4 linked regions of the Oryzias latipes genome follow. Each later gene encodes a partner of the first gene's protein in a complex. Links are inferred from orthologs where the notes say so. Each region holds a gene or a part of one and is shown on either strand. Other genes may lie near its edges. The genes, in order: bud13, cwc27, crnkl1 and cwc22.

What was found.
Region 2: bud13 (region 1) and cwc27 share a complex: the UniProt entries of both Homo sapiens proteins name them as parts of the activated spliceosome. The link is inferred for Oryzias latipes from reciprocal best matches to the Homo sapiens genes BUD13 and CWC27.
Region 3: bud13 (region 1) and crnkl1 share a complex: the UniProt entries of both Homo sapiens proteins name them as parts of the minor spliceosome. The link is inferred for Oryzias latipes from reciprocal best matches to the Homo sapiens genes BUD13 and CRNKL1.
Region 4: bud13 (region 1) and cwc22 share a complex: the UniProt entries of both Homo sapiens proteins name them as parts of the minor spliceosome. The link is inferred for Oryzias latipes from reciprocal best matches to the Homo sapiens genes BUD13 and CWC22.

Annotation. Positions count from the first base shown.
Region 1 is NC_019872.2:13,068,368-13,076,289, forward strand, and holds the start of bud13 (BUD13 homolog), read right to left. Parts: upstream 4,472-7,922; 5' UTR 4,443-4,471; coding exon 4,306-4,442; intron 4,165-4,305; coding exon 4,077-4,164; intron 3,676-4,076; coding exon 3,591-3,675; intron 3,514-3,590; coding exon 3,115-3,513; intron 2,812-3,114; coding exon 2,507-2,811; intron 2,423-2,506; coding exon 2,314-2,422; intron 2,162-2,313; coding exon 2,023-2,161; intron 1,942-2,022; coding exon 1,760-1,941; intron 1,615-1,759; coding exon 1,533-1,614; intron 1-1,532. Other genes in the region: uncharacterized protein LOC101171185, read right to left, coding at 5,718-5,815, 5,916-6,245, 6,336-6,372. UniProt on the Homo sapiens protein: Involved in pre-mRNA splicing as component of the activated spliceosome. As a component of the minor spliceosome, involved in the splicing of U12-type introns in pre-mRNAs.
Region 2 is NC_019870.2:3,044,320-3,052,194, reverse strand, and holds the start of cwc27 (peptidyl-prolyl cis-trans isomerase CWC27 homolog), read left to right. Parts: upstream 1-3,833; 5' UTR 3,834-4,188; coding exon 4,189-4,230; intron 4,231-4,375; coding exon 4,376-4,472; intron 4,473-4,591; coding exon 4,592-4,704; intron 4,705-4,780; coding exon 4,781-4,924; intron 4,925-5,014; coding exon 5,015-5,113; intron 5,114-5,203; coding exon 5,204-5,307; intron 5,308-5,528; coding exon 5,529-5,598; intron 5,599-7,875. Other genes in the region: ppwd1 (peptidylprolyl isomerase domain and WD repeat-containing protein 1), read right to left, coding at 1-8, 281-463, 537-618, 691-872, 954-1,143, 1,856-2,046, 2,136-2,583, 2,653-2,773 and 3 more. UniProt on the Homo sapiens protein: As part of the spliceosome, plays a role in pre-mRNA splicing. Probable inactive PPIase with no peptidyl-prolyl cis-trans isomerase activity. As a component of the minor spliceosome, involved in the splicing of U12-type introns in pre-mRNAs.
Region 3 is NC_019882.2:16,312,204-16,318,707, reverse strand, and holds the end of crnkl1 (crooked neck-like protein 1), read right to left. Parts: intron 6,499-6,504; coding exon 6,332-6,498; intron 5,985-6,331; coding exon 5,806-5,984; intron 5,732-5,805; coding exon 5,561-5,731; intron 5,042-5,560; coding exon 4,850-5,041; intron 4,675-4,849; coding exon 4,615-4,674; intron 4,523-4,614; coding exon 4,442-4,522; intron 4,124-4,441; coding exon 3,884-4,123; intron 3,763-3,883; coding exon 3,661-3,762; intron 3,319-3,660; coding exon 3,070-3,318; intron 2,846-3,069; coding exon 2,492-2,845; 3' UTR 2,324-2,491; downstream 1-2,323. Other genes in the region: naa20 (N-alpha-acetyltransferase 20), read left to right, coding at 201-253, 573-597, 917-1,007, 1,208-1,343, 1,411-1,556, 2,083-2,168. UniProt on the Homo sapiens protein: Involved in pre-mRNA splicing process. As a component of the minor spliceosome, involved in the splicing of U12-type introns in pre-mRNAs.
Region 4 is NC_019879.2:6,702,585-6,710,481, forward strand, and holds the start of cwc22 (pre-mRNA-splicing factor CWC22 homolog), read right to left. Parts: upstream 4,096-7,897; 5' UTR 3,975-4,095; intron 2,788-3,974; 5' UTR 2,786-2,787; coding exon 2,731-2,785; intron 2,633-2,730; coding exon 2,421-2,632; intron 1-2,420. UniProt on the Homo sapiens protein: Required for pre-mRNA splicing as component of the spliceosome. As a component of the minor spliceosome, involved in the splicing of U12-type introns in pre-mRNAs. Promotes exon-junction complex (EJC) assembly.

The sequences.
Region 1 (7,922 bases):
AATAAAAAGCAGAATGTGCAAGAATCAAATGTTTACCCCGGCCCGCCCCACCCAGGCACCGGACCCGACCCCCCGGCTAACGGAGTCCCCTCCGCCCCCCACTGGGCACCGGAAGGCTCCGACCCCTAACCACGGCAGACAGACAAGTAGCAGCGACGACCAGGCCCCCCACCCCCTAAGTCATGGAGTTAGCTATGGGAGACCAGAGAGACTGAATTCTTTCAAAGTTACTTGAACTTTGGGCTGACATGACTTCCAAGCTGATACGATCAAAGAGAATAAAGAATTTTTTTATGTCAGAAAATGTTTATATGGACCAGAGTCCGAAGAGGTTGAATTTTTTTAGCGTCTGGTTTCTAAAAAATGTATTTTTTAAATTCAAATGCTAAATCATGATTTTTTTTTAAAGACTTTGAAACTGCCAGTAAATAAATGTTTTACAAATTAAGAAAGTTCAATGACAAAGTTGTTGATTTGTTGAAGTTGTTTCTGATTTGTAAAAATTCATTAAAGGCAACATTACAGATTTTAATTTCGTTATAACGCAGAAAAAATAATAATTCAGGCTCAGATTATCTTTCAGGGCAAAAAAAATTAATCATAAACACAGAAGAGTATTTTCTGTTCTTACCAGGTGGCTACCTAATTTGTAAAACCTGCTGTAGAAACATTCTCAAATGTTATTGTATTGAATCCTTATTCTCTGTAAAATATTTGCAGCTGGTTTAAACTTAGACTTTGTTCAGGATCCATTAAAATGTGATGTAAATTTTCACTTAAACTCCAAAATGGAGGCTAACATCTGAGTGCCAACGTCAGCCGCATCTTCAAGGTGTGCCAAACAAAAAACACTAAATGAAATGACACAACTGTCATGAAACTGGCATTTTCTACACGCAAAATGCAAAATGTGAATCCATTGTGTTTGCAACTTTTTTAACAGCGTATGTGTAACTTTAGAGTCAGTCAACGCATATTATGCAAAGTGGGCTTTGTAGGTGGGAACAACTATCGCAATGAATCCATATTTGGAGGAAGACTCCTGGTTTTATCTGTAAATAATTGATTTTACTTTGAAGTCAAAAACTCTTCCTTCATTTTCTCAATGGCTTCTTTCTCTCCCACAAAAAAACTTTCCAAAGATGTTTTTTCTTATTAACTTAGTTACCTTTTTATTAAGAGGTCGGAGAAGCCGCTTTAAGAAGGTAGTGGATGTATTTTCGATGCGCGAGTGAACAAGAGTATAGACACATGTGGCAAATTGAATCAAGTAGTTTTCCAAAATAAAACTACTTTCAGAATAAAAAATAAAAAAAGGAAATAATCTAAGTTACTATATGTAATTTTTTTGTCTGCAGCCTGGTACTAAGTGACCCCATGAATGGATACAGTCCGCGTCTCGGGAACTGGGGACCACTGCTACATAGTGAAAATACCTAAAACTGTGATCATCACAACTGCAAAACTAAAACATTGCAGAAGAGCTGAAAAGTTGACAAGCAGCATCCCATGAGGTTTTTCTTCAACTGTACCTGTCCACTCCATCCCAACGGTAACCGGGAGGAATGTTGAAACGGTTTGGGGGTGGCGTAGGTCCATTGTAGCGAGGTTTGTCTGGAAACAGTAAGAAAATTTTAAATGAATCATGTAAAACTGCAACTGAGATATTTGCTGTACTTGAAGTACTAATGCCCAAATTTTTCCATCAGAAGAGTAAAAAAAAAAAAAAAAGTACAAAAACTTGTAGAATGTTTCAAACCTTGTGTTTTTGAGCTTTTTTCCTTTTTCCGCCGAAGCATGGCAGCCATGGGATCCCCGTCCCTCTCCTGCTCCCTCAACATGCGGTCCAGATCTTCGTCGTCACGGTGACGGGCCAAGGGCTTCTGGGCTTCCAGCAGGGCGTCCTCCAGCTTCTGCTGCTCCATCTGATTCTGAGCCAGCCTAAACACAAACAATAACTTGTCTTCTTACATGTGGTGGAAGTAGCATTTTCAGTGACTTGGTATGGTTTTGTGGATTTACCCTTTACCCCACTGGGCATATTTTTCATCTTTTGCAGCCTTTTCTCCTGCTTTTCTCTTCTGCTCCTCCCTTTCTGAGGTCAAATCCCTCCTTTTGCCACTTTTGTCTCGGAAGACCGTCTCCGCATTACGAGATTCATCTGATGCGTAAATAGTATAAATAGTATAAAAACACTTTCATATACCGGTACTTCAGAAATATAGAAAGTCTAAAGTTATACGATAAGAAAAGGGTTGTTTCAAACTCTCTTTTTTTTTAAAAGTAAAACTGAAAAACAAAAGCAAGGCCAACCTTCAAGAGGTTGATTCTTTTTTTCTCTGCGTCGGTTTTCCTTTTGCTCTTCCCTTAGAATCTCCACAGATACCAAACCAGCCTTTCCTCCGGAAAGCATCCTGTGGTCCTGAAAAACACACAAAAATATTAGATGGGGTTTGTGCTGCAAATTAGGTTTCACACGAATCCCTGAACAGCGCAGATCCCTCACATGAGACTGGCCAGGTCTCCGTGGTGGTGACAGATCTCCATCCGAGTCCTTTCCACTCCTCGAGTGCTTTCTTGGTGGAGACTGGTCGGAATCGGATCTCTGCCTTGTTCTGGAGCGTCTCCGAGGGGGAGACTGGTCAGAGTCGGAAGCTTCTCGCTTCGATTGCTTTTTCCGTGGAGGAGATTGATCGGAGTCTGAATCCAGCCTAACCTTAGTCTTATGAGCTAAAGGAGACCGCCGATCATCTGGCGACCTTGGTTTACCGTGTAACGATGAGCTGGGCTTCCTTCTAGTGGGAGAAGACTCTGAGAATCAAAGAGAATGTTTGCACTATATATATTAGAGTGCAGAGAGCAAAACTAGTAATCCTAATATGAAATAGAAAAAAATAAATGTGTTTTACATAAACATTTTATTGTGTCAATATAACTATTGATATTTTTAGTAACTACTATAACCCAAAAATCTAAGAGGTTCCAGCTTTAAGCTTATTCAATGCTTAAATGGCATTGGTATGCCGTTTTCAGCTTTTTCAGTGACTTGTGCAAAATGAGCATTGTTCTGTATAAAAGCAAGAAAGAAAATCTTAACTGTAAAATAAAACTCACCTTTACTTTTAACTTTCCCAGACTTCCTTAAATGTTGCCTTGAAGGAGACTTGCTGGGAGAGTCATGGCGTCCTCTGCTAGGAGGAGATTTATCCGGAGAGTCATGGCGTCCTCTCCTAGGAGGAGATTTATCCGGAGAGTCATGGCGTCCTCTCCTGGGAGGGGATTTATCCGGAGAGTCATGGCGTCCTCTCCTGGGAGGGGATTTATCCGGAGAGTCATGGCGTCCTCTCCTAGGAGGAGAAATGTCTGGAGAGTCGTGTCTTGGTTTTTTGAAAGGGGAACCATGTCTCCCACTTTTCGATGACAGCTCTGGTGAGTCATGCCGACTTTTTTTAGATGTTAAAGGCTCCTCCTGCTCATTTTCTTCGTCAATTGTTTTGTCTTCGTCTTCATCCGCTACAGAACAACACAGTTAATATGAAAAACAACATAATTTAAAAGAAGCCAAATTTATATACTGCTTTTATAGTTACCCCCAACTATTTTCCATCTGTTACTGGTCCTAAAGGCCTCCATCTGTTTCACCTCTTCTGGCCGCTCATCGATGAACTCTGCAATCTGAGAAGGTAAATCAAAGTACAAAATTTAGGTTTCCTTGGCTTTAAAACTTTAATGTACATAACATAGACCAAATCAAATCATTATTTACTCTGTTCAAACATCTGTGTTGACTGCTTCACACACAATGCAAGTTTCCCACATATTTCATTCAAACCAATGTGTCAAATCTATCTTGCATCGATTATCCTGCATTAAAGCAGATCAATTCAATCTCACGTCAGATGAAATTCCTGTGTTACGTCTGGATTTACATTTCAATAATGTTAACAAAAAAGAAAGACATACATTTTATTATCATCAAATCAAATATCGCCATCAGACTTTCATGCGTGTAAAAGTTAAACATAGTAGACCGTACTGCGGGGGAAATGCTAACGCAAGGCTGCTAGCTAACTCACCACCGGAGCTTCCTCTTCATCCTCTTCGACATCCGGCTGCTGTTGGACCATTTGTCTCCAATCAATATCATCGTCTACTATTTTAAGTCTAGATAAAAACAACGAAGTAACACAAAATAAAAACGATTAAACTCATAGAAACAAAGTTCCAAATCAAAAATAGCTTAGCATAAGGAAACTAGCTTGGATGCTAACAGAAAGCCAAACGGCGCAGTATTTCGGTACTCACCTTGTTTCAGGAAGCTTTTTTCGTTTCTTCTTGCCTTTTCCTTTAGATGCACCATGGTTGTCGTCAGCTGATAAATACCGCTTTAAGTACTCAGCTTTAGAAAGCTCGGGTCCGGTTCCACCACCGACCGCTGCCATCTTTGTATTGTGGGAAACTACGGGTCGCGTCAAGGGTCAATGTAGACGACGAGGAAGAAGACGCGTTTCTGTATTATTATTATTATTATTATTATTATTATTATTATTATTATTATTATTATTATTATTATTATTATTGTTATTATTGTTATTATTATTATTATTATTATTATTATTATTATTATTATTATTATTATTATTATTATAACAAAAAAGTTACTGTTATGCATAAATAAATACATTGAAGATAAAGTTGACTCCAAAGAAGTTAAAAATGATAACTACTGGGCCACAATCTGCTGCAAGACTGTGTCTGTGGTGGGACCCAGTGACTGGCATACAAATAATGACTGTCACCAAAAAGGCTAAAATTGCCTGATTTCCCTAATTGACCCACAAATTTAGTCGGTCATACACCGATGCCTAGAAAGACAGGAGAGCAATGTTTTTGAATTGTAAAAGTCTTTACTCTTCTTTGCATACGATTTCAATTCTTGTTCTTATTTTTTTATTTGTCGATCATTTTTTTTACACTAAAACTTTTTCAAAAATATAGGCCGTCACTACTTGCTTTTTATAACAGAGACAAAAAGACCTAAATATTGTCCCTGTTACATGTCATGTCCAATATGTAGAGACAGATTAAATGTCATGGGTTATTGTTTATCTAAGACAGTAATAACCAGCTGCTGGTCTAGTATGATTTCCATGAATGACAATGCATTTAGGCTCCATTGAGAAAATGTGACATTTCCAAATACTGGTATTTATCTGTCAACAGTGTTCTTTGATTTATGATTTAAAAAAAACAACAAAAACAAACAAACACACAAAACAATTATATTTGTTCAATCATAAATGAAATGATTACAAGCAAATTCACAGAGCTCTTCTTTTATTAACAAGCAAACAAGAACACAATCAATTTGCTGCTTTTGCAGTGAGGAAAAGGCCACAAAAACTATTAGTGCTTTTTAATGTAAAAGAAAAGAAAACATAAAATCAATAATACCTCATTAATAAGTCAGCAACTGCATCTCTTAGTCTGCCATTAGACTGTCTCCCTCGACGAAAAAGCTGCACTTTCATTTCTACTAATGGTTAATTTACATTCAGTACTCACAGCTCTCAGCTCCTAAACATTTAAATCGTCTACAGTGGAAACATTTACCAGTGTTTTTTACAGAAGGAAGAGAGATCTATTCTGTGACAGAAGCGAAAGTGCTTAGCTTAGTGAGTATCTGCAAAAGCCTGACTGTTCTCTTCTCAGTGCCATCAGCTGTCATTGTGATGAAGGAAAAAGACCAGGCAGCCAATCAAGAACCAGGATCTCTGCAGAAACACGCTCACTGCTGAGCATGGCACCAGGGAATCTGTAAAGAGGGAAATTATTGAAGCACACCAAAAATCTATCGAAAAATTCTGCCAGCTTTTGGTTAACACTCATTCCCTTCAGCTCTTCAGTCCACCCACCTTTCTCCACTGTGATTTGTTTCATTTCCCCATATATTTTGCACATGTAGGTGGTGTTGGGTGGGAGCTTGTCTTTGAAGTCAGACAGGGTCATCCTGTAGCCGTGAGGCTCCAGTTCCACCACTTGGCTTTTATCATTAAACTGAGCCTCGGCTTTAGACCCAGACACATTGGTGTTGATTAAAACCTCCTTGGTTCCCGAGGACCATGAAAACTCATAGCTGTTGATTTTGTTAGGAGCTGGCTTGATCATACAGTCTACTCTCAGGTCTTCATCATCTTCAACACATACAGAGATCTGATCTGGTTGGACTGGCAGCAACAGCAGCGCTAGAGACAAGAACAAAGAACATTTATACAGAAACAAGCTTGATTTTATGTGTGATTTTATTTCAGACACCTTCAGCTTTGTGTTCTTACCTCCCACCATTCCATAAACAAACAGGGACTTGATCATGATGGAGAAAGGGCCATTCAACTGAAAACAGAAGAAAACAACATAAAGAACAAACTGTTGTTGTGACACAGCAAGTGAGTGCACACAATAGAAGTGGGTAAATGGGAAACAAAGCTATTTATTGCACAGGTGGATTAGAAAGGGGTAATTTATAGCTCCAATAAAGCAAAAAACAAAACAAAAATAGTGAAACTGCCATGAATGTGCTCTGAATCTAAAACTTAATCTTTATGTGACCAAAACAAATGTCAAAACAAGATTCAGACTGTCTCAACTTTGATTTTGTTTTGTCTCCTCTCACACGGTTCTGTGGCAAAGACTAAAGTCACAACCTAAATATGTCATTTCATTTAGTATTGACCAATCCTTATTGTTATAAAATTCCTTCTGTTTATTATTTCCATTTGGCCACATGTTTTAGAATAATCCTTGCAATCTGGATATAACCATAAGGCTATTATTCTTTCCTTTGGAAGCAGCAATCTTACCTTACGTTAGAGGAAAATCGAGCACCTCCCTCCGCTTGCTCAGTTCAGCTGAAGTAGCACTGCAGAAGATCGCACATCTGAGAGGAGAGATGGAGACAGAGTGGGAGGGACGATGCTGGACCAGAGATCTGATTCGTCTCTCCCCTCTGCAGTGTCCGATGCAAAACACAAGGCAGGTGGCTGGGAAGAACTCGTGGTTTTCACCAGCACAGTCTGCGACCTTGTCCTCTCCATTTCATGTTCCAAGTCCATCTGTCCTCATGTACCCCTTCAGCCCCCCCAAACAGCTCCCAAAGGGACAGTGCAGGTTTTTTCAGTAAGATCCTTCATCAAAAACAGAGTATGAAGTGAAAAAAATGTGATTCCATTCATACTTAATTGCCCCAAACCCCACCTGTTATTTTTTATTTCATTGGAATAGTACAGCAGAGTATTTTCTGATGAGAGTAACCTGAAAATAGCCAGAATGTTTCAGTCCAGACAAATTAAAGCTAAAATAGATCAGTTTAATTTTTCTAAACACTGATTAAGTTAAAGACATGTATGCTGTTGAATTATTTAAAATTCACTTGTGTCTTTTATATTTAGTAATTATTTATTGATGTTTTATTATTTTTGAGCTGCATCATCTCTTCCAGAAATTTCCAGCTTTGTCCTGCTGACCTCGGCTGACTCTCTGCTGCCACCTGCAGGCCTCTAAGAGAAACGTTTTAAATTAAAGTTGAATTGGACAAAAAAGTCTGTAAAAAATGACTAAACTAACTTTACTGTAAGAATAATAATGTATATAAGTTATCTCATTTTTGATTTTATGCATTAAATAGCTCTATAAGTAATATAATCATCCATGCAGAAGTGTCTTAGCATCTTCTCAGCATCAGCATGAAGGCTACGTGTTATCTGTGTCAAGACCGGAATCGAAGGCCTTTCTGTGTCAGTTATCCGTGAGAAAAGACGTAGCAGGTCCAAAGATGATGTGGGAAGACTGTGAAAAGATGGACATTTTGCTATTAATGTTTTCTGACTGCTGTTTTTGATCTGTTCCCCCTCCTTAGAGTTCAG
Region 2 (7,875 bases), on another chromosome or scaffold:
AGCCAGGGCTGCAGACACAGACAGGTGAGGCTTTTAGAAGCCCAGCTAAGAAGATTCCTGCTGATTCTGATGTACAAGGAACTAAACGGAATCGTTCTGGAGAACTTTGTTGAGATTAAACCGGAATATACTGGAATGGAAATTGATCCGTAAAAACCAGAAGCTTTTGTATTTATTCCGCTCAAAATAAGTTGAGAGGTTCGTAATTTTACCCAGGACGACTTGAACTGAGAGAGACCGAATTGAAAGAGAGAATCCAGGAAATCCTGCTGTGACTCACTGTGGGAACAACGGTGATGAAGAACTGCGAGCCGTTGGTGCCAGGCCCGCCGTTGGCCATGCTGAGTGTGTACGGACGATCGTGTCTCAGCGTGGAGTGAAACTCGTCCTCGAACTCTCCTCCCCAGATGCTCTCGCCCCCCATGCCGGTGCCGGTGGGGTCTCCGGTCTGAATCATGAAGCCCTGCGCACCGAAAGGAGCGGGAATGACGCCCTGAATGAGTCTGCAGATGCCCGAGGAACAGAGCAGAACCCACCTTGATGACTCTGTGGAAGATGTGGCCGTTGTAGTAGCTGTTCCTGCTGTGAACGCAGAAGTTCTCCACAGTTTTGGGGCATCTAAAAAGCAAAAGGAAGGTTCATTTTTTCCACGCTCTGAAAAGCTGGAACCCATTCGGAATGGGGACCTACTCCACTGGGAAAAGCTTGATGTGGATGTCTCCCATGGTGGTGTGGATGATGGCGCTGTCCGACACCCTCTTGGGGCCCTCGGCCTGAGTAGCTGCCATCACTTCTTCCTTGGATGGCTTCTCGTTGAAGACGTCTCGGTCTGAGTCGGCGCTCTTCGTGTCCTCTGGCTCTCTCTTTGTGAACTTTAATCAAAACATAAACATAAAAAACAACAACAACAAGCAGGTTTCTGGGAAAAAAAAACGGCCCTTTTGCTGTCTTACCATGTAGAAGCGGTTCTTCTTGAACGCCGTGCAGAAGATGGTGGGGTCGGGCTCCACATTCTCCAGGGCGGGGTTGTCGGAGGCCTTCATCTCCACGGTGGGGGCCACCTGCATGGCCTTCGCCACTCCCTGGAAGAGACTGAGGTGAAGCACGCGGATGTTCTCCAGCTTCCCCAGGATCCGCACACATCTGGTGAGGAAGGAGGAAACTTTGAGTCAGGAGTTTCCTGAAGGCCGGCTGCGCGTGACGTCAGCTTGAGGCGACAAACACACGACGACAGGAGTTTCTTCAAATTAAAATGTTTATATAAATGTCCCACCCTGGAGAAAATTGTGTTTTTAACATGTTGTGGGATTTTTCTGATGATGGAGGACATATGTAAAGAAAATAGGGCTTAAAATCGCATTTCAAAGTATTTATTTATTCAAATTGTTGTGAATCAGGAGCAGACGAAAAAATGCAGTTGGAAAAAGATCGTATTTGTGACGTAGAAATCTCGCTGGGGGGGCCACCAGCTCCCTGCTGAGCTCTCGGGAAAGGGGTGGGGAAGAGAAACGGTCCCGCCCACAACTCAGAGGTGAACTTCTAAGAAATGACGGCCGCTCTGCAGAAACTATGTCCTAGAAAATGTCACAGGTTTACTTAAAGACCACTGGGAAAGCTTTAAGAATAGATCCAAAGATGAATGGAGTGAACCTCCACAGCGTAAACTTTTCCTTGGTCTAAAGCAAATGTTCTCATTTGATTTATTTCAATCATATTTATGCTTTTTTTCTGCCAATTATCAAACAAAAATACAATTCTTTAAATGCTTCAACATCACCCCAGCAATTAAAATGAAACCAGCCTAATATGCAACAGTTTCTCAAACTCTGAGGCCGTCCATGCTCTCCCGACGTACCTGTTGGTCTCCACATTGATGACTTTGATGCCGAGCATGGTCCCGTACAGAACGAAGTGGCCGGTCTCGTCAAAGATGATGTTTGCCAGCCGGACTCCGTCCACCTTCTCCAGCTCTCTCTCCACGGCCATCCGCCTCCCAAACTCCATGTCAGGCAGCTGCTGCCGCATTTGCTGCAACTCTGTGAACATCTAACATGTGACGCAGGAGCGATGAGCGACGACCAACACCACACCGAGGAGGAGGAGGAGGAGGAGGAGGAGGATGAAGGCCAACGTACCGTTAAGGACTCGTCGAACACTCTTGCCAGTTTTCCTGTTAGGAAACGGAAGATCCTCACTTTCCTGTCTGAGGCGATGGTGGCCATTCTTTTGCCATCAGGTGAGAAGGCCAAGCTGGTGGGATAGGTCTTGTTTTTTGCAAATTCATACAAGTCAGTGTCAGTTTTGTACTCCCACTGCACGTGCTTGGGAAACTTGAACTCGTTGGGAAGGCCTGTCCAGTATTCCAGCATTCCCGCTTTGTCGGCAGACACGATAACTCGGAATTTAGGATTCAAGCGGATTTGAGTCAGCGGGGAGGAGTGCAGTTTGTCAAAGACGTGAAGGGGCTCGCTGCTTCCCCGCCCATCGTACACAAAGATCTTCCCTGTGGATTTTTCAGAACACGCCACGGTGCAGATGGCGTCCCCGGGGTTGTAGATCCACTCACTCTGTCCGGGGTGAAAGCTGCAAACAAACCCTGCATCAGTGTCTGCCGCATCATTCAGGCTCCACTGCACCGTCATTGGAACTCACCCCAGCTTCAGCATGTTGATCATGTCAAAGTTGACCACATCGAAGACTTTCATGGCCCGATCGTCCCCAACAGAGCAGAAGAGAGCCCCTTCGGCACTGACGGCGATGCTCTCGATCACACCTGCACAAACACAGCTTCACGTTGAGAAGAAAGCCACATTCGTGCGCCTGCAAGATCGAAACGAGGGCGAAAACGAAGGTCTTACCCAAGTGGCTTCTGAAGTGTTTCACAAACTCTATACCCTCATCCTCCTTCTTTTTCCAAAACTTGACGTGGCCGTCTTGGCTGGCAGTTAGGACAAAGTCTGTTCTGGAACAGAAAAGGGACAGCGTGAAAAAGAGAGGAGTGTCAGATAAACGGCACAATTCCTCTAAAGAACATTTTGCCAGAGAGCACAAATTCTAAGTATTTTTACTATTAACTTTACTATAAGGTACATAGAAACACAAAAACTGCACACTCTTTTGCTTCTTTGACACCTGAAGCTGCATAACAGTTCTGATCGACTTGTCTTTCATTTCCATAGTTGCATGATCAGCTGAATGAAGTTACATTTCCACCACTTAGTTAGACTTACTTGGAACAAACTATATGCGTAATAATGTCTCTGTGCATGTAGCTCCGTTCATACATGGCAGCTGAGGGCAGGTTGTCCAGGTAAACACGCTCGTATTCGAGTACTGACACCAAACACACAAAAACAGGCAGAAAAGAGCGGGGGTTAGCGCGGATTAGCACGACTTCTAACAGATGTTTGTCACAGACCAGGGTAAAGCCGCCACCAGAAACCAACCTTTCCGTTTTTTAGTCGTCGTGGCTTCATTCGGCATGGGTCCGACCCATTCGGAATCTTGTTGTTCTTCATCTCCGTCCCGGTTATCTTCAGCCTTTCGCTTCAAATCCACACTGTTTTCAGATTCCGCCATCGTTGCTTCTCTTCTGGTTTGTCCTGTCGTGATTACGGCACTTCCGCTTGACTTCTAAATTCGTTAACCCTTCCAATCGAAGTAAATGCATACATATATAGTAAGTAAAAAATAAGATTAAATTAAATGCATATGCAAACACCTTTTACATTAATATTAGATTTTTTTTCAAACTTAAATAGAGTTTCCACTGAGCGCGATCATGTTTCCGCGGGGCAGTTATCAAAGAACACATGGATCAAACCAATGCAATTGAAGAGGGGAAATAGTTGGAAAAACGTAATTCGTTTGTTTTGTTGTTATAGTTTATTTTTATTTGCATGCTTTAAAATGCGGCGTTTTCTAAAGAAATACCCTTTTATCAAATTCAATTATATATTAAGTGCAAAACGTTTCAATAAGATTATATGTCTACCTTCTGACGTCCCTGTGCACTCGGAAGTAAACAACCCGCGAACAGATGCAGCTAAGATGGCTTTGGAAGTGAAACGATCAAATTAATCTCATGTAAGAAAAACAGTTGTAAGAATCATTCTTTACCATTCGCTTTGTTTTCAGTTAACTAAAAGTACTTTAAACGTATAAATTAGTTAGAAGTCGGGGGGCAAAATGAGCAACATTTACATTCAGGAACCTCCGACGAATGGAAAGGTGAGCGTTCAGTTTCTTTCGCTCCAGAAAAGCCCAACTTTCATGTGGTTTTACCTCTGAAATGTACAACAATTGTCTCCATTAGCTAATAATTAGATGTATTTATTGTTAACTGAAGATTGTATGTTGGAAAATGTTCTTCCAGGTTCTGTTGAAAACATCAGCAGGAGAAATTGACATTGAGCTGTGGTCCAAAGAGGCTCCCAAAGCCTCCAGGAACTTTGTGCAGCTCTGCATGGAAGGTAGGATCTGTCAAAAAGAACCAAAAATCGAGAGTTAAATCTGCCTTTTTGTTTTGTTTTCTTTCTTGGGAAAAGTGATCCAATCTGTGCTGTTTGGGTCTCTATTTCTAACCCTATAGGTTACTACGATGGCACCATTTTCCACAGAGTGGTCCAGGACTTCATCATTCAGGGTGGGGATCCTACAGGAACAGGAACCGGGGGAGAGTCCGTGTACGGCCGTCCGTTCAAGGTCCGACAGTTTCGCTGCTCGCTTCAGAAAAACGTGTGTTTAAGCCTAAGCGAAAACCCTAAACTTCACCTTTCAGGACGAGTTTCACTCAAGACTGCGCTTCATTCGGAGAGGCCTGGTTGCTATGGCGAACGCTGGGCCACACGATAATGGGAGTCAGTTTTTTTTCACGTTGGCGCGTGCGGATGAACTCAACAATAAACACACCATATTTGGAAAGGTGAGCATAACTTCAGTCCATTGTATGGTGGATGTTTTAAGAGCTGCTTATGTTAAAAAAAAGCCTTATTTTCCTTTTGTTTTACTGCAGGTCACTGGAGATACGGTCTATAACTTGCTCAGATTGGCTCAGGTTGAATGCGACAAAGATGAACGACCTCTGAGGCCTCATAAGATCAGATGTGCTGAGGTGATTCGTTTATTCACACCAATCAGAGCAGCTCCTGTATCTAAAAAGTCGTTTTTTTTCCCTTGTGATAATGTTGTGTGCGTCTTCCAGGTTCTGCACAATCCCTTTGATGACATTGTTCCTCGAGAAACGAAGAAAAGCAAAAAGGATAAAGACAAGGAAGAGGCAAAGAAATCCCAGTCAAAAGCCACGAAGTGAGCATTCACTCTTTCTTCTTCCCTGTTTATGCTAAAAAATACAACTATCAGACTTTTATTGTGAATGTTTTTCTCACCTGCAAAATGTAGTTTTCTTGGTTTTAAGTCCATGTGGCCTCGTATTTGAATTCCTCTTACAATCTTGTTGTTTTCTGTGATTGTAGTGGTTTTTGTTTGTTGTTGTGATTTGGATTAATGCTCCAAAAAAACTTTTCCAGGAACTTCAGTTTGTTATCGTTTGGTGAGGAAGCTGAGGAAGACGAGGAGATGGCGAATCAAGTCAGTCAGGTATGTTTCTGCTCTCCACAGCAAACTTTGTGCTGCCTAAAGCCTTAGTCCCAACTAAGAACACACGAATTATCAAGTGAGTGTACTTGTTGATGCATACGGGCATGCGACAGGTTGTAGTTAACACTTCAAATGTATGGGTGTTGTTTAGAGGAAAAGTCACGTGACCCATACAGCCACTGTGTCTGCGTGTCACAGAGAAGCCAAACAAGGAAGCGTATCGTTGCCAGATTCTTCGGTTTTCCACCCAGTTGGGTAATTTTGGAAAATTTGCTTTGGCGGGTTTCGTGTCAACTTGGCAGGGTTCAGTTAGTTTTATTATGAGTCTAAGCTATCTTTTATTTTGAAAAATTAACCTGATCTTTTCTGTTACATTTCAGTCACTTGGGTGTTAAATCAGTTCCGCTGCGATTTTAACAGAGTAGGAAAAAAACAGCTTTTCATGCACCCAAACTTCCAGCTGTTGAACGATTCTCGCCCACCCTGTTTTCCCCGCCCACCTGTGTATGACGTTTTATTTTACTGAATCTTTCCGAAAGGTGTTGAATGTGGTGTTTTTAATTAGGTTTTTGGAATCATTTAACAATTTTATCAAGGATTTAGGCTTTTTCTCCCCCCATTCCTCTCAGTTGGTCCAGCAGAATACAATTCCACTGCATTCTGTCTCTTATTTGACATGAATCATTTTATGTTTTGGAGGTTGTTCAGCAGAACTGTCAAACTTAAAAGCATCTCCCCAATGCTGGATCTTATAGAGCGCGAGACATGGGAATGAGGAACTACGGTAACAAATATTCTGTTTAGTTGATTTAATCAGTAAATCTGTGAACTTTCTTAACTGTGTTGCCTGCAATGATGTTTCTGGTCCAGCAGGAGTCAGTATTGAGTGAAACAGTATCATCAACACAGAATCCATACAGTTTGGCTGATGTGTCAACGCTTCACGAGGCCTCATTTACCCATCACTACTGCAGACTGCGTAAGGAGGCTGTAGGTTCAGCGCACGTGAAACGTGCGCGCTCCTTGCGAAGCCGCCTTACGGTCAGAAATGAGGAAAGTAGACAATCAGAGGGTTGTTAGTTTGGACATCCTACAGACACGTATGACATCTCATGCATGCAGCATTCGCGTGCGGTCAGTAAGCGGCCAGTACTCCCCCCCCCCCCCCAACACACACTCACCCGGTGACAATATATAGGTTAGTATCTATAAAAATTGTGTAAGTACACCTAAAATTGTATCTTTTAACATTAATAAAAGAAAAAAGCAATATAAATCCACTTTCAACAAATATTAACTTTATTTAACCACAGAAACCCTGTTATGGTCTAAAACAGAGAAGTAGCTTTAAGTGTCTGAAATTATTCCTTAGTTAAACTAGAAACATTTTGACCAACTGAACCATTTGATGCTGAGAAAAATAATTCAGTCACTAAATGATATTAAATGTAAATTGATTTGAAACATTAACACAGCTGCACCAATTTATTTAACGTTTTTAGTCTGAAGAAATAGATAAAAAAAATTGTGCTGATTTTATTTTTCTAAATGATGGATTGTTTATTTAAGATATCAAGAAGTGCAGCTGTTTTCCTGCATTACCTGCTGTCTTTATGTCAAATACTGACACCAACTAAACCACAGGCAGACAAAGAATACATTGATGGAAAATAAAGACACGTAACAAATATGTCTACAATAGCTCATAAAGAAAGACATTATTAGCATGAGCTGAGTCATCTAAAGGCATGTGATGATCCTGGTGTTGCGTAACCATGCAGCGCTCCGCGTGCACGTTCCACCTGGCAGCCTGAGCCCACTACCCCTCCCCTCTCCTTCTCACACACGCGTGTGACAGGAGACGGGGGCAGCTGCAGGGACGGCAGTTCACAGGTTTCTGTTACAAACTCTGAGATTTAAATAAATATTCAACCGGTTTTTAGTACTTAATTCTTATCTTTTTGGTTTGGCTCGCTTTTATCACAAAAAAATGACTACCGTAATTTCTGGATTATAAGCCGCTACTTCTATCACACGCTTCCAACCCTGCGGCTTCTTCAATGATGCGGCTAATTTATGCATTTTTTCTAACGGCCGCTAAGGGCGCTCGAGCAGAAAGGGTAAGAGTGAGACAGGGGGAATACAGTATATGTGAATGCTTTGTGAATGGATAGCACGAACAGACCCTCATCATGGAAAATGCAAGAAGAAATGCATATGACGCAGCTTTCAAGTTAAAAGCAGTCGTTAAAAAAATCCACCATCACCAACGGGTTT
Region 3 (6,504 bases), on another chromosome or scaffold:
CAGATACTTCAGTCCAGCAGGTGGCAGACACACACTAGGTAGTGGCGGAGACGTGTGATTTGCAGCCGAAGAAGAATGGTACTGACGAAAAATTCAAGCTGTACGCGACCTTTCCAGTAGAGGGCGCTCCTAAGTCTCTCGTGGTCTTTTTACATTGAAGTCCTTCTTCTTCTCTGCTCGGCTTACTGTAGTTAGCAAACATGACAACGCTGCGACCCTTTACCTGCGATGATTTATTCAAATTCAACAACATGTGAGTACAATCCTGACTGTATGTTTACATGCTGGATTAATTTAAAGGCAAGGAATCTCACGAGAGTTTGTGGCTGAAAAATAAACATTTGGAAGAAAAATATTAGCTTCTTTTTGCTTCGACTCGAGCCGGCTGAGTTGTGCTGTGTCGACGGCTAACATATAACACTATGCATTAAGGATATTTTTACCCCGGATTTTTAAAACAAGTTCTACATAAATAGCTTTTTTTTTTTCACCCCTGACATATTGTACAAAAATCTTGCGAGAATTGTTCTGTGCTTTAAAGTAAACAGCGTTGCTCTTGTTTTGTTGAACAGAAATTTGGATCCTTTAACTGAGACTGTATCCTTTTCGATGAGCTTTCAATTCATCGTTGGTTAAGAAGGTATATCATTATATATTATACAATAATAAATTTCAAGTGTAAATATATAAGGAAATATGCAAAAAGTTTACATCTTGTTATCTGTCCTCTTGAGATTATGGTTTTTATTTTCTTAACTTTTAAGTCTTGTATTAAATATTTTAATAACATTTTATAACATTAATAATACATTTCTCAAGGAATGATTCCTTAACTATTTGTGTAGTATTATTTGAAATATACAACACTATAGTGTGTGCTTATAAAAAACGAGTTTTCTTGACCCTTGACCTCCAGTATGGGATCCCATTTTACCTGCAGTACCTGGCTCACTGGCCAGAGTACTTTATTGTTGCTGAGGCTCCTGGTGGGGAACTGATGGGCTACAGTGAGTTTTCCATGTTTCCTTACAATATTCCTTATGGTTATTGAAAATTTGATGAGCCACAGAGTTGTTTTCGCTTTTTTATTCAAATATAAAAAAGGAAAAATCCGTTTCTAAATACCGAGTTTGATGTATACAAGTTGCCCTTTAGTAGTTTTGACAGTTTGAAGCATCACATCTCCCATTGGACCTGTTTTTTGCAGTAATGGGGAAGGCAGAGGGATCTGTTGCTCGCGAGGAGTGGCACGGTCACGTCACCGCTCTGTCTGTGGCTCCGGAGTTCAGAAGGCTCGGGCTGGCCGCCAAGCTCATGGAAATGTTGGAGGAAATCTCAGAGAGGTTTGTATCTGGAAAGCTATCTGATTTTGATCATTGTATTGACCATTCTCCTTTTGTCATTTTAAAGGAAGGGAGGATTCTTTGTGGATCTGTTTGTGCGAGTGTCCAACCAGGTTGCTGTAAACATGTACAGACGTCTGGGTTACAGCGTGTACAGGACAGTCATCGAGTATTACTCTGCCAGCAACGGGGAGCCCGATGAAGATGCTTACGGTAACACTTAGAGCTGAATTTATTTTACTACATACATGAGAAACAGCAATCCCTGTTAGTGGAAATTAACCTTTCATTTTAATTTAGACATTAATACATTATTTAGAAATATTGAAAAGCTTAATTTTTTGAATCCTTTAAAAAAGAAACCATTTATTTATGATCAGTATTTGGGGTTTGATAAATGCATTTAATGCCCTTAGTATGAATAAGTTATTGAAATAATTATCTGAAGACTGTTATGTAGTCACGAACACTTGAAAATTGACATTTAACAAATGTGTAGTCTTAACAGGTCAATTTTACTTCTTTTTTTTTAAAGTAAACTATCAAAGGAATTTTTTTAACAAATTAAATGGATTTAGCTGTAAAATGAAAAGTTTTTCTGATTTACAGCCAAATAAAATGCAAAAAAAATACACGTAAATTCATTTTTCCCTAGTGTTGGAAAAAAAAAAAATATATATATATACTTTTTACTGGAAAGAATGATTTAAAATAATCAAACTGATGATTCTTTTTGCAGATATGAGGAAAGCTCTGTCCAGAGACACAGAGAAGAAGTCGATCATCCCGCTGCCACACCCGGTCAGACCGGAGGATATTGAATAACATCAGAGTGTGGCTCTCTGACTCGGATCTGCCGTCTTTATTCTGCTGTGTTGTGATTTCAGCTGTAGTTCAGTGACCATGTAAATAGTGAAAATGACACACAAGCGCCTTTTTTTTCTGCTTCAAAGTCGGAGAGCCACTGAATGTACAAAACGTTGCAGTTTTTAGTTTTTATTTCTTATAAATTTGAAAGAAAGTCAGTTGAGAAAACACACAAATGAGTCTAAGCGGTGTAACGACACAGAGAAAAGTTGCAATAAAGATGGCTCGTGAGCTGAGTTTTTTAAAAAAATGTAGAAAATCCCTGCCTGCTTTGACTGAATCTAATCTTTGTCCTCCTGAGGGCTTTTGCTCTGCTTCTTCTTTGCTTCCTCATCTTCATCACTATCACTGCTGCTGCTGCTGTCCTCGTCGTCTCGGTCATCATACGTTTTCTCCTGCTCGGATTCAGTCATGTTTCTGGCAGGCTCCTCCTCTGCCTGCTTGTCGGCGAGGCCCGTCTCCTCAGCCTCCACTGATGTTGCCTCTTCAACACTCCGACCTTTTTCTTGAGGCTCGTCGGTGTTTATCTGCTGCCTCTTCCACATCTTGGCCATCGCGAGCAGCTTAAGGTTGGGCTGGTTGGCAGCATCCTCTGGGAAGATGTAATCGTAGTATTCTTCCCAGCCTGCATCCGACTGATGGAATCAGGAAAATGGGATGAAAAACATTTCTTTTGTTTGCATTTACGTCTAATATTTGTTGAGTAGCTAATTTTATTAGGATCTGATGTGGTTTAAAGTTAAACAATTAACAAGAAAAAGGTGAAATTTTCACGGTCACACAGCGAATCTTGTCGCTCTTCTGGAGCAACAGTCACATTTTCCCTTTTGATGAAAAAGAATTTCGTCTCCTTGCTTACCCCATCTTCAGCGGTCAGCTTCCTCCTCTTCTTGACCTTCTCGGGCAGCAGCTTACTAACTCGTTCTCTGCTGCTGTCTGAGCCAAACTCCTTCTCATAGTCTCTCCAGGACTCCAGCAGCATCAGCCTCTCTTCTTTCTCCTCACAGTTCCTCATGCTCTTGTTGGCTTCCTCGAAGATCTGCCGACACTTCGCCAGCCGGTCAGGTCCATCGACTGACAGCTCGAATTTGGCATAGCTAATCCAAACCTGAGAAAGACAATGGTATAAGTCACTTGACTGGGTGAAAAACATTCAATTTAGGCTTTTTTTGTTTGATGGAAAAAGGTAGTTTCTCAGATCACACAAGGACAGTGGGAGAGATGGGAAAACAGAAGAGTTCAACTTTGGTTAGAAACAACATTTGATATTCTACTATCTGTCAAGTTAAAGATACAAACTAAGACTTAAGCTTAATGTTGGCACATTAATTTGTTTTTTTTTCCAATGATATAAAAGTTTAAAATTAGATTTTCAAAAATAATAACTATAATTGCATTAAATCACAACTAAAATGAGAATTCTTTTCAAACATATAAGCAGTTTACTCACCTTGACATGTTGAGTTCTCTGCAGCAACCGTTTGTAAAGGTTTCTTGTGTTTTCAAACTCTTCCTGCTCTATTTCAAAGTCTATGTAAGATTTCCACAGAACCTAAAGCAAGGTTTAAAAAACAAAGGATGTATTTAGGTAAAGTAAGAACAAATGAGATAAAAAATGAGGAGAGTATTAAAAAATTCTAATTATTTAGCATTTCAGTAGCTGTAACTCCTACCTCTGGCATGTCCAGTCGTGGCTGTCCAATCGCGAGCTCAAAGATCGCTCGGGATCTTTCCACGTCTCCCAGGATTGTCTCCAGCTCTGCAAACTTGATCCACGTGGTGCAGTTTTCCGGACTAAACTCCAGGTACTTCTCGTAGAGTTTCCTGCAGCGGTCAAATTCTCGCAGCTGCAGCTCCAGTTCAATGTAGCCCTTCAGCAGTTTGTTCTTGGGGCATTTACCAATGGCTGTGCCCTGAGAGGACAGAGGAAGGTGGTGGACCAGTTTTTGTCGTACTAGTTAAAATGGATACCAAACACCTATTTTTGTAAGTTGAACTAGATTAGTTTATGTATCAAAGTTCAACTTTAAATTGTGTGTTTGTCTCCTTAGGGAGTCCCTTGTTTTGAATAAATTTCACAGCTGTAGTGCAAAGACATGCTAAAATAAAAATCATATAACTTACAAAGAAATATACAAAAAGTTCCTTATCATCAACCAACACTGGTTTAGGAATATCTCTAAATACACGCGTGCATACATTTTTATACGGCCGAGTTTTCACCATCTTACCATAATCTTTCTAGCTGCCTGCAGATTCTTCTGTCTGATCTCAAACTGGGCGAAGAGAAGCCAGATCTTGGCAAACGTGAACTACAAAAAAAAAAACAAAGCAGGCGTCACTGTAAGGTTATGTCAGCAAACCGACCTTTTTTTTAAGAAATGACAAGTATTCTAAAGAATACCTTTTTGTGAGGCATAAGATCCAGACAGGCCTGGTAAACCTGCCTAGTTCTCTCTGGATCCTGTCAGGTGATTTAAAAAAAGGGTAAAACTTCTTGTTTTTGATTGCTCTGATGCAGAGGAGTCAGTATTTTTCACTTTCATTTGTTTTAAGATTCTCCAAGTGAGCAGAGGTGAGCATGCAGTTCCTTTCCCATGTGCTTTGGAAAGTAGACATGAGGTGAATGAAGAACCAACCTTGACTTCTAGTTCTTCGTACAGAGCATAGTTGATCCAGAGGTAGATGTATCGCCTCCAGTGCCTTTTCTCTTGAATGGGAGGGATGTTGGCGATGGCTCTCTCATAAACATCTCTGACCGTGTCAGGGTCTCCATCGCTCTCCACCAGGCGCAGGTAATCAAACCAGGCATCATAGTTGAGTGGGTTTGCCTGAAGAAGATACGAATCATGAGAATCCTTGTGTTTGAAGGCAAGAACCCTTTCCTCTCTAAGATCAGTAGTTGGTATGCAATGCTGTACAGCAAGCTAACACCCGACTGCATCTTTTAGATCAAAATCAGGTTTTAGTTTTATTTCTACCACAGATTAAGATGGGTCATTTTCAGAATTTATCATGTAAATCTGATCTGGGAGAATTAATAGATTCTTAGATGAACTAAGATTCAGATTTCTTTGTTTCATGCAGTAATTAAAACACAAAAAAGATACAACAACGATCTACAAAATGCTTAATAATTAACATTCAGTTAATTAGAAGTTGAGCTCTTCACAAACTAACACTTTTTTGAGCCACAACTCATGTTGCATCATTAATTTATCTGACAGAAATCTTCACATTTAGGTTTTTTTTTTTAAATGTCATCCAAATGAGCCTAAATTTGTTGTCTTGTCAAACTCCATGTTCTGCTTGTTGTTGGGTTTTACCCAGCTTCCATTTGACATTTTTACCTTGACCTCCTCTTCATACTGAAATCTTCGTTTGTTGATGATCACATCCTCAATCCCCCTGCGGTCTCCAAACTTCTTCTCAAACATGGTGTAGTTTTTGAAGAGTTCCTGCGCTTGATTTTTCGGAATCTTGTCCAACGCATACTTATAAATGACTCGAACCCGCTCGAACTGCATAGAAAAAGAAACTCTGTGTTATTAGAAGCCATGATTGCACATGGAAATACAATAAATTTTTCTTGTACCTCCTTCTGCATCTCCTCAAATTTGGCAAAAGCCACAAAGAGGTTTTCGTTGACGTGATCCTCTCCATAGAACTCCGCTGCTCTTTCGTACACCTTCCTGCTATGAGCAATGTAGCCATGTTTCTCTTCAAAGCGGGCATACTTGATCCAGTTCTTCACTTCAGGGTGAACCATCACAAGTGCGAGGAGTCAAGAAATGTTATGTTTCCAGCAAGATTACCCATGTTTCTGTTCATCCTAAAAAGGTTGCTAGTAATTAAATGGCCTTGGTATTCTGATTGTAAGTCAATGTCTGAAAAGGCCTCATCTTGTCTGGAAAATGTGTGGTTATAGAAGAAAAAAAACTATAAATTACCTAGTAACACAAACAGATGTCAGCAGAAGTTCAATATGTTGGCTAAAGTTATTACTTTAATTTTTTTCTACTGCTCAGTTTACTAACGTTCCTCTAAATAAATTTGGGTTGCAGGAAGAAAAGCAGTTTCTGTGAGGTCAAAATGGTCAAATAAATGATGTAAAAGGATATATCGCTCATAAATGGTGCGGGCTTTGTCCACCTCCTTGTAGCGAAGTTCAAAATTGATGTAAGAGTGCCAGGCCTGTTCATCAGGCTCCCACTCCATCCAGCGCTCAAACGCCTGCCTGCAGCCGGCAACGTTACCCAACATCTCCTCCATGTATGTGTACTTGTACCTGTTC
Region 4 (7,897 bases), on another chromosome or scaffold:
AAGTATATAATAAGGACACTCAGACATTCAAGAAGAAACCTTTACAAAATAAAAAAGTTAATGACAGACTTCACACATTTAAATTCCAGATGCATCTGATTTTGAAAAGCCAGACAGATAAAACATGATTTTCCAAGTCTTTAGGATTAACAGCACAATGTAATATATTTAAACAGAGAAGTTAATTTCAATAGTTTATTTATGTTGACTCTTTTTTTAAACTAAGAAAGACAAGTGGAAAATTATCATTAAAAGTTGAAGTTTTTTCTTCTTTTTTTCTCCTTTAAGGAGTCTTAAATAGTATATTCAAAACAGACACTTTCTACATGGAAAAGAGTATTAATTTCCATAATTCATTTCAAAAAATTGAACTTTTATAGTGTAAAGGTTTGGGGCCCACCATTTAATTGATTTCAAGTGTATTTGTTTGGGGATTAATTGGAGTTCCAGCTCATAAAACCCACAAAAACAAGATTTCAGAAAATCTGAATACGGTACTGTGGGGAAATCTCCCCTTTTGCAAGAAGATAAAGACGGAGGTCATGATCACATGAAATCCATTAAAATAATGTATTTTCAAAATGATATGTCGATCTTCATTGCTAGGTTGGGAATCCCTTAGCCTTAACAACTGCCTTGATGCACTGTGACATTGATGCAATCAGCTTGTGGCGTTATGGGAGCCCAGATTTTCTTGATGCTGCCGTCAGCTCTTTTTTTGTTTGACCCCATACATTTTCAATGGCCTTTAGGTTTATCGAGTTGGCAGGCCAGACGAGCATCAAACCAGGCTTTGGAGCTTGTAGCGATATGGGCGGGGTCTAAGTCCTGCTGGAAGATGAAATCTGCGTCTCCATCCAGATCCTCAGCAGGAGGAATCATGAAGTCTTCTAGAACAGTGGTCCCCAACGTTTTTAATGCCACGGACCGGTATGACGTCACAGAAAGGTTCCTAGGACCCGTCTTGAAACTTGTAGACAGATGATTATGGTCGCTATGCCATGATAAACAAGTACCAGAGTCATGGCAAGACGAAGCCTGAGCTTTTATTTTTACACGCATGACATCGTACAGGTGTCATCATCCTCTCCCCTTCCCACATTCATGGTGCAAAAAAAAAAGAAGTACTGTCTACTAAATGTAGCCTTCTTTTTTTGGAAGTGGAAGGCTCCTCTTCTGTTCCCAGGCTGGGTGTTTTCCCCTTGGCAAAGAAACTTTCCACAGACGTTTGTTTTTACTCATTTTGCTAGATCCTGGGTTTTATTTTAGCTGTAACCTATCACATGATCGAGAAGAGCGCCTCGGCCTGCATCAAGAGTGACATAAACGGATAAAACAGATAATCGGGCAATTTTTCAATATAAAACATCTTTCAGATTCGGAAATAAATAAAACGGAAGTAATGCAAGCTTCTTTTTTTTTTCTTCCTCCACGGCCCGTTAACAAATGACTCACGGACCGGTACCAGTCCGCGACCCGGGGGTTTGGGGACCGCTGCTCTAGAACATTCTGCTAGACGGAAATCAGAGTTTTCCAACACCAGTGCTGGAAATTGCAGCCCAAATCAGGACTGACTGTGGAGATTTCACACTGGACCCCTAGCAGTTTGGGTTCTGCTCCTCACCAGTCCAAATAAACGGCACACTTATCTCTCATAACAAAACAGGACCGTGGACCGCTGGCCAACAGTCCAGTCCTTCTTCATTTTGGCCCCATTGAAATGTTTCCTCCGTTTGTCCAGGCTCAGAAGTGGTTTAACCCGAGGAACCCGACAGTTGTAGCCCATCTCCCACATGCGTCTGAGTGTAGTGGTTCTTAAAGCTGTTCCTCCCCCCCATTCCACTCTTTCTGGATTTCTGGAGCTTCTTTAATCTTTTGATAATCCGCTGAAGCCCACGGTTGTCTCTTTTGCTCCTGCATCTTCTCTTGCCACATTTTACCCTTCCATTGAACTTTCCAGTGATCTGCTTGGACAGCTGTGAACAGCCAGCTTCCTTAGCTAGGAACGTTGGTGACTGATTACCCAGACTATGGAGGGATCAATGACGGTCTTCTGGCCAGTTGTGAAGTCTAAAGTCTTCCCCATATTGAACCTTGATTTTAGTAGGTGATTAGTTGATGAAACCCAATTTAAAACATTCATGCTAGCTAAATTTAGGAAAATATTTCCATAGTATTCCAATTTTTTTTGAAATCCTGTTTTTTGTGGGTTTCATAAGCTGGAATCCTAATTTATGCAAAATAAATAAATAAATAAAAAAATCAAATAAATACGCGAAATTAATTAAACAAAGGGACATGAGATTAGATTCTATTAAAGTGTATTTTTTAATGCAATTATGGAAATGAACATACTATTGTTATGATATTCAAATTTTTGGAAGTTGATTGTAAAACAGTACGTATATGAAATAACTCACTTTGATTTCAGCAACACTACTCCGTATCTTCCTTAGTGCACCATGATGTTCATCTTCACTGCTGCTGCTGTCTGAGCTGCTAGAGTTGGGGCTCTTGGATGAGTTCCTGGACATTGGAGACTTTCTTTGTGGAGACTGCTGCTCTTTGGTGCTTTCCTCCTCTGCACTAACTTGTTGGAGTCTCCCATCAGCTGGATTGGATTCGTCACCTGCTGTACATCCAGAACAGACCCAAATAACAATTTGATATCAAATCAACTGATGCCGACATTTGATTACTACACTATTGTTCTGGCAGTGTTTTACTCACCTCTAGGTGGTTCATTTTGAGGAGTGGGACTTTGGCTTTTATCTGAAGAGTCCATCACTAAAAGAAAAGGAGGCAGAAAAATAGTCAATCTCCTGTATAGTGAACGGAAAACATAAAATCTTCTTTCACAACACAACTTAAAAGCATTTAAAAAGAAGAAGAAAAAAATCACAACATTTTTATATTTGACTATCTATCTCCCATCAATGCAACAGTCTTTTGTGATCAATAAACAATTATGAGGGATGACTTTTTTGGGGTGGTGGTGGTGGGGATGGTTCTTAAGAAGGCCAATAAAGTAAAAAAGCAAACGAATAAATAAATAAAAACCTCTTTGGAAATCTAATCAGTAACCAGAACATCAGGTGAATTCTAAATGTACAGTAATATTGGGTATGAGCAGAGCAAGACTATAAGTGACATTAATAATAATAATAATAATAATAATAATAATAATAAATGTTGACTTGATTTTACAATCCAGTTTAATTCATTTAGTACGGAAAAAGTTTAAAAGAATGAGAATAAGGTACACATGGGTTGGTTGCCCATGAATACTGGATTAAGAAAAGAGCCAATTTATTTTTCTTATTTTGGTAAAACTTCAAGTGCACTAATGTCCTTATTCTTACTTTCAAGCAGTAGGAATCGAACTAAAGTGTCACCCTGGCTCAAAGTTTGAGACGCCTTATACTCGGACTTGTTTGTTTTATGTGGAATCTCCAGTTTAACTTAAGGGCAGCCATACATTTGAAGAACTTAGATGGCAAACCAGTTATTTTGGAACCACACCAATCATGTTTTTTTTAAATGTAGTAATAAACAGTTTCTGAAGTGGTAAGGTCTTTCAGATCCATGGAAAGAATAAAATAATCAGCGATCCCTAGTTGCTATCTATTTTTTTAGGTATAATTGTGTCATTTTATTATCCACTGAGCTAACAACAGGTAGCTCCAGGAACACTGAGAAACAAAATACCTACAACTAATCACAAGTCAAATATTAAGCTAATAAATATCAACACTAGTCGAAAATAAAAGATTTGTTTAACAATGTTATAAACAAACTAATTTTTACACCAGAGACTGACGGCAACCATGTGAATCTGGATGAGCTACTCGGCTAACTGCTAATGCTACATAAACGCCAAAAAGATACACGACTAATTTTTAGCTAGTCTGTTAGTAAAACTAGAAAATCGTTCATTCATAGTCTTTGAATTAAAACTATATTCCGTTACTTGCCGTTTAGTAGCCTTCAAATTCCCTTTGTCGACTATATTTCGAAATGTCTCTTTACTGTCCTGTTAAGGCGGAAAAACTTAAAATGTAGTTCCGGTTCACAACGCGCATCCGGATTTCACAATAAAAGTTTTCTTGCTGTGTGGAACAGCAGAGTAACCGAGGGAATGGATTTGTTTAATAAGTTTGACATGTCATACTACTGACGTAATTTGTACGTTCAACTAACGACTCAATTTAACGCTTAAATTAGATTGGAGTTCAATTCTCCCTGTGTTTTCGTGTCGCTTTGTCAAACTTCGGCCGAAGGGAGAAAACACAAGTTAACACACTCTCCTCTGTACTTTCAAAATAAAAGTAAAAACAGAATCCAAACGACTTTGCCCAGAGACCATAATTATATTGCACTACTGATAAAAACCTAATTTTCGACGTGAAGAATGTATTATATTTTATGATACAAAATAGATATATTTTAAAATCCTCCACAGATCGCAGACCCAAACAACACAGACACTTTGAATTGACACTTTGGAATGGACGTGAATGCTGAATCCTCCAAAGATGAAGATTTTTTACATTGATGATTAGTAGTTTTTATGAAAGTGTTGTTCTGAGGTTTGTGAGAAAAAACTCACTGAAAAAACAAAAACAAATGGACAACAGTGCTTTAAGACCTAACCTTGCAAAAATGAACAAATGTTAACAAAAAATTGCCGGTAGCTCCCATTTCTGTACAAAGAACTGAATGAAATAACTTCAAAACATAAATCAAGAGGTGGTCATTAGCTTTTAGGAAAAATAAGTACATTTTGGTTGTATTCTTAGAGTCGTTGGCATTGATATTTTGCCCACCTTGCAGCCAGGGGTGACCACAGCTCAGCAAACCTTACTAATAAAGCGGTCAAAATTTGTAGTAAAGATGCTCACCTTGTTTTCAGTGATGACACTGAACTAGAACCTTTTGAAATTAAAACCAAATTAATTTATCATCTTTGTATAAAAGCATTACTTTTCATTTTGGCTGCACATTCTAAAGGGAAATTGTGGTGTAAGATTTGTTGCAGAATATAAACTCACCAAACTTCAGGCATTGATTAGGTATGATATTTATACAATACTTTATGAACACTTTCTCCTGTTTTTTTTAGTGATTGTTAATGACAAACTGAATAAAAGCTGTTATATATTTTCCCCATATACGATGGTCAGAGGGCTGCATGGTGGTGTAGTGGTATGCCCTCTCTCTTCACAGTGAAAAATGCCTGCTTTGAATCATGGCTGGGTCCTTTGGAGTTAGCATGTTCTCTCGTCTTTCATTCCTCCCTCTGCATATTTAAATGCATTGTAGGTTAGTTGCTCATTCTAATTTCTCTCCAGGTGTGAGTGTGTTGTTGCCTAGCCCTGCAACCTATACTAGCTGTACCTGATCCTTGCCCAACAACAGCTGGGATAGGCTCCAGCAGCCCTGTGATCCCAAATGGGATTAAGCTGGTTAAGAAAATGGATGTAGGATTTTCTCTAGGTATAGACAATCAAATTTGAAAGGTGACTTCACCTCTTGACCACACTCCTGTTTCCTCTAATATCATGTAGTTGTCTTCAACTAATATCAAAGAGAATCAAATGCAATTGCCCTCGTCTTTCATAAAACCTTTTATTCCCCTTTTAAAAAGCTTCGTCAGTTCTGACTAACGAAAGATGAGTTTTGAGACTTTGGATCAATCCCTCCGAAATGCCATTTAATCACTTCCATCCACTCATCCTTCTATGAAGTCAGATAGTGGTTTGTTCTGGTCTGGCAGGTTTTATTGCCTGTAGAGCAGAATCAAAGCTTCATTTATTATTGCAGTTTAAATGTAATTGAGAACAAAACAATCATTTCAGTCTGGAATTTAATTTTAAAAAAAAGATTCAAGTCTCCCATCAGTTTTCGTTATACTTGGAAAACGAAATAAAATGTTATGTTTGACTGGACTTCACGGGTCATCTACATAGCTTCTTCAGCTTTATCTTTATATAACCACACAAACACATTTGTACAGAAAATAAATACATTTTTATTATTCTTTTCTCTACAGATCGTCTCCTCCCTATATACCCCACTTACAACACATCCATACAGAATACAAATTATCATCAGCTAAACAACTGAAGAAATTAATAATCACCAAATAACCAATGTGTCGTGTAAAACATGAGTCCTCATCAGAGAAAGTGGATCGGACCAGCAGAACTGGAGTTAGGAAAAGTTAAAACACGGAGGAGAATCAGAGATCAAGGCTATTTAATGGTTTTCACATTGACTGAAGGAGAATATTTAGACATCTAGATCCTTTCTACACCAGTGGTGAATGTTGGAGAACCACAATGTCTGTAAGATTTAGTTATTACTGATGAGCCAGCCTTAGAGTATAGATTTATAGTTCAAACGTTCCATGCCATGTGCAGCACACAGCGGTTATCTCCCAAAAAAAGTTAAGTTCTAATAAAAGAGTCTGTGAAATGTTTTCACATTAGCATCATAAAACGTGTTTTGATGCCTGAGTGCCTTGGAAAGGCTGACATTTCTCTCCCCCAGTAAATGGTTTTCTCTCTGCATACATTCAAAAAATAACAGCATGGTATGGAAAAAACATTCACACAGTATTATGATGTATAACAGAGATTAAAGAAATGTGCATTTCATTTTCTGACTTAAAAATGTAGCTCGACCAGAAAAAGGAGTGAATCCCATAGTACATAATCATCACTGAGCTAACAGCCTCTTTACCTAAATTAATTCACATTATTGAACACAGGTTTGTCGCTCCTCCCTCCGATCGTATCATCATCCTCATCACTGTTGCCGTGACAACTTACTGGAACCTCTAACCTCCGAGCTTCTGCGCTTTAAGACATCACACAACTTTTTCATGGTGACTGGTTCAGACTGCTGCACCCACACAGCAAAGGCTGCTGCTTACTGTCTTTGCACAATAAAAAACAGGAAACAGTTTTGAAACAGAACAATAAACACCTTCCAGCAGTTACAAAACTTTTACTTTCATTGTTTAATCGTCATAAAAAACTAAAAAACAGTTATTTCCTTTAATTGAATGAAAGTAGTGATTTTGATTCAGGTTTACAATTAGTTTCAATTAGCAACATTTGGTATTCATGCTAAAAATTATTTCTGATTTCTATTAAACTGAAGGTGGCATCAGCTCCCCCCCCCCCCCCCCCCCCAGGTTACCTGATATGTTAAAGTGTCAAGCTAAAGTTGAAAGGTCAGGCTCACGATGATGAAGATGATGATGATGATTTTTCATTATACCTCTGATGTGTATTATAACATATTAGATTCACTGTGAAATGTGCTTAGAAGATAGAAGATTTAGAAATTAGATAGTTTGCATAGGAAAAATCTTTAAAAGGCAGACGGAACATATTCAATGCCCAGCAAAAGCCATGCAAACAAGCAAAAGGGTAATAAAAAAGCCCCTCTACTGCTCTAAATCTCTTTTTGGTTTTTAATCTAATTTTTTTCACCATGCTACTAAAATGAGGATTTTGTAGCAAAAGAAATACAACCTATATGTGGATTTGTTTTTAATGTTTATTAAATAACTTTAAAAAAAATCATGATTGGCTAGCGTGTATTATCTTTTTATTTTTGTTTTCTGTGTTTTGATAATATCATGGAATGAAAAAAAAAATACTGTGAGTTTTAGAATTTAGGATACGTTTTTCTCAATCAGCATCTTTGTTTCTGTGCCTTTTTTAAACTCACTATTTTAATACTGGATACATGTTTAAAATAATAATACATTTGGAATACAGAGTTGAATGATTTTCATGTCATTTTCAACTGCCACAAGCAGCACAAACTCAATCTATTGAAATATTTGAGGCTGTAACTCCAGAGATCTGTCCCCTAAGAAAAC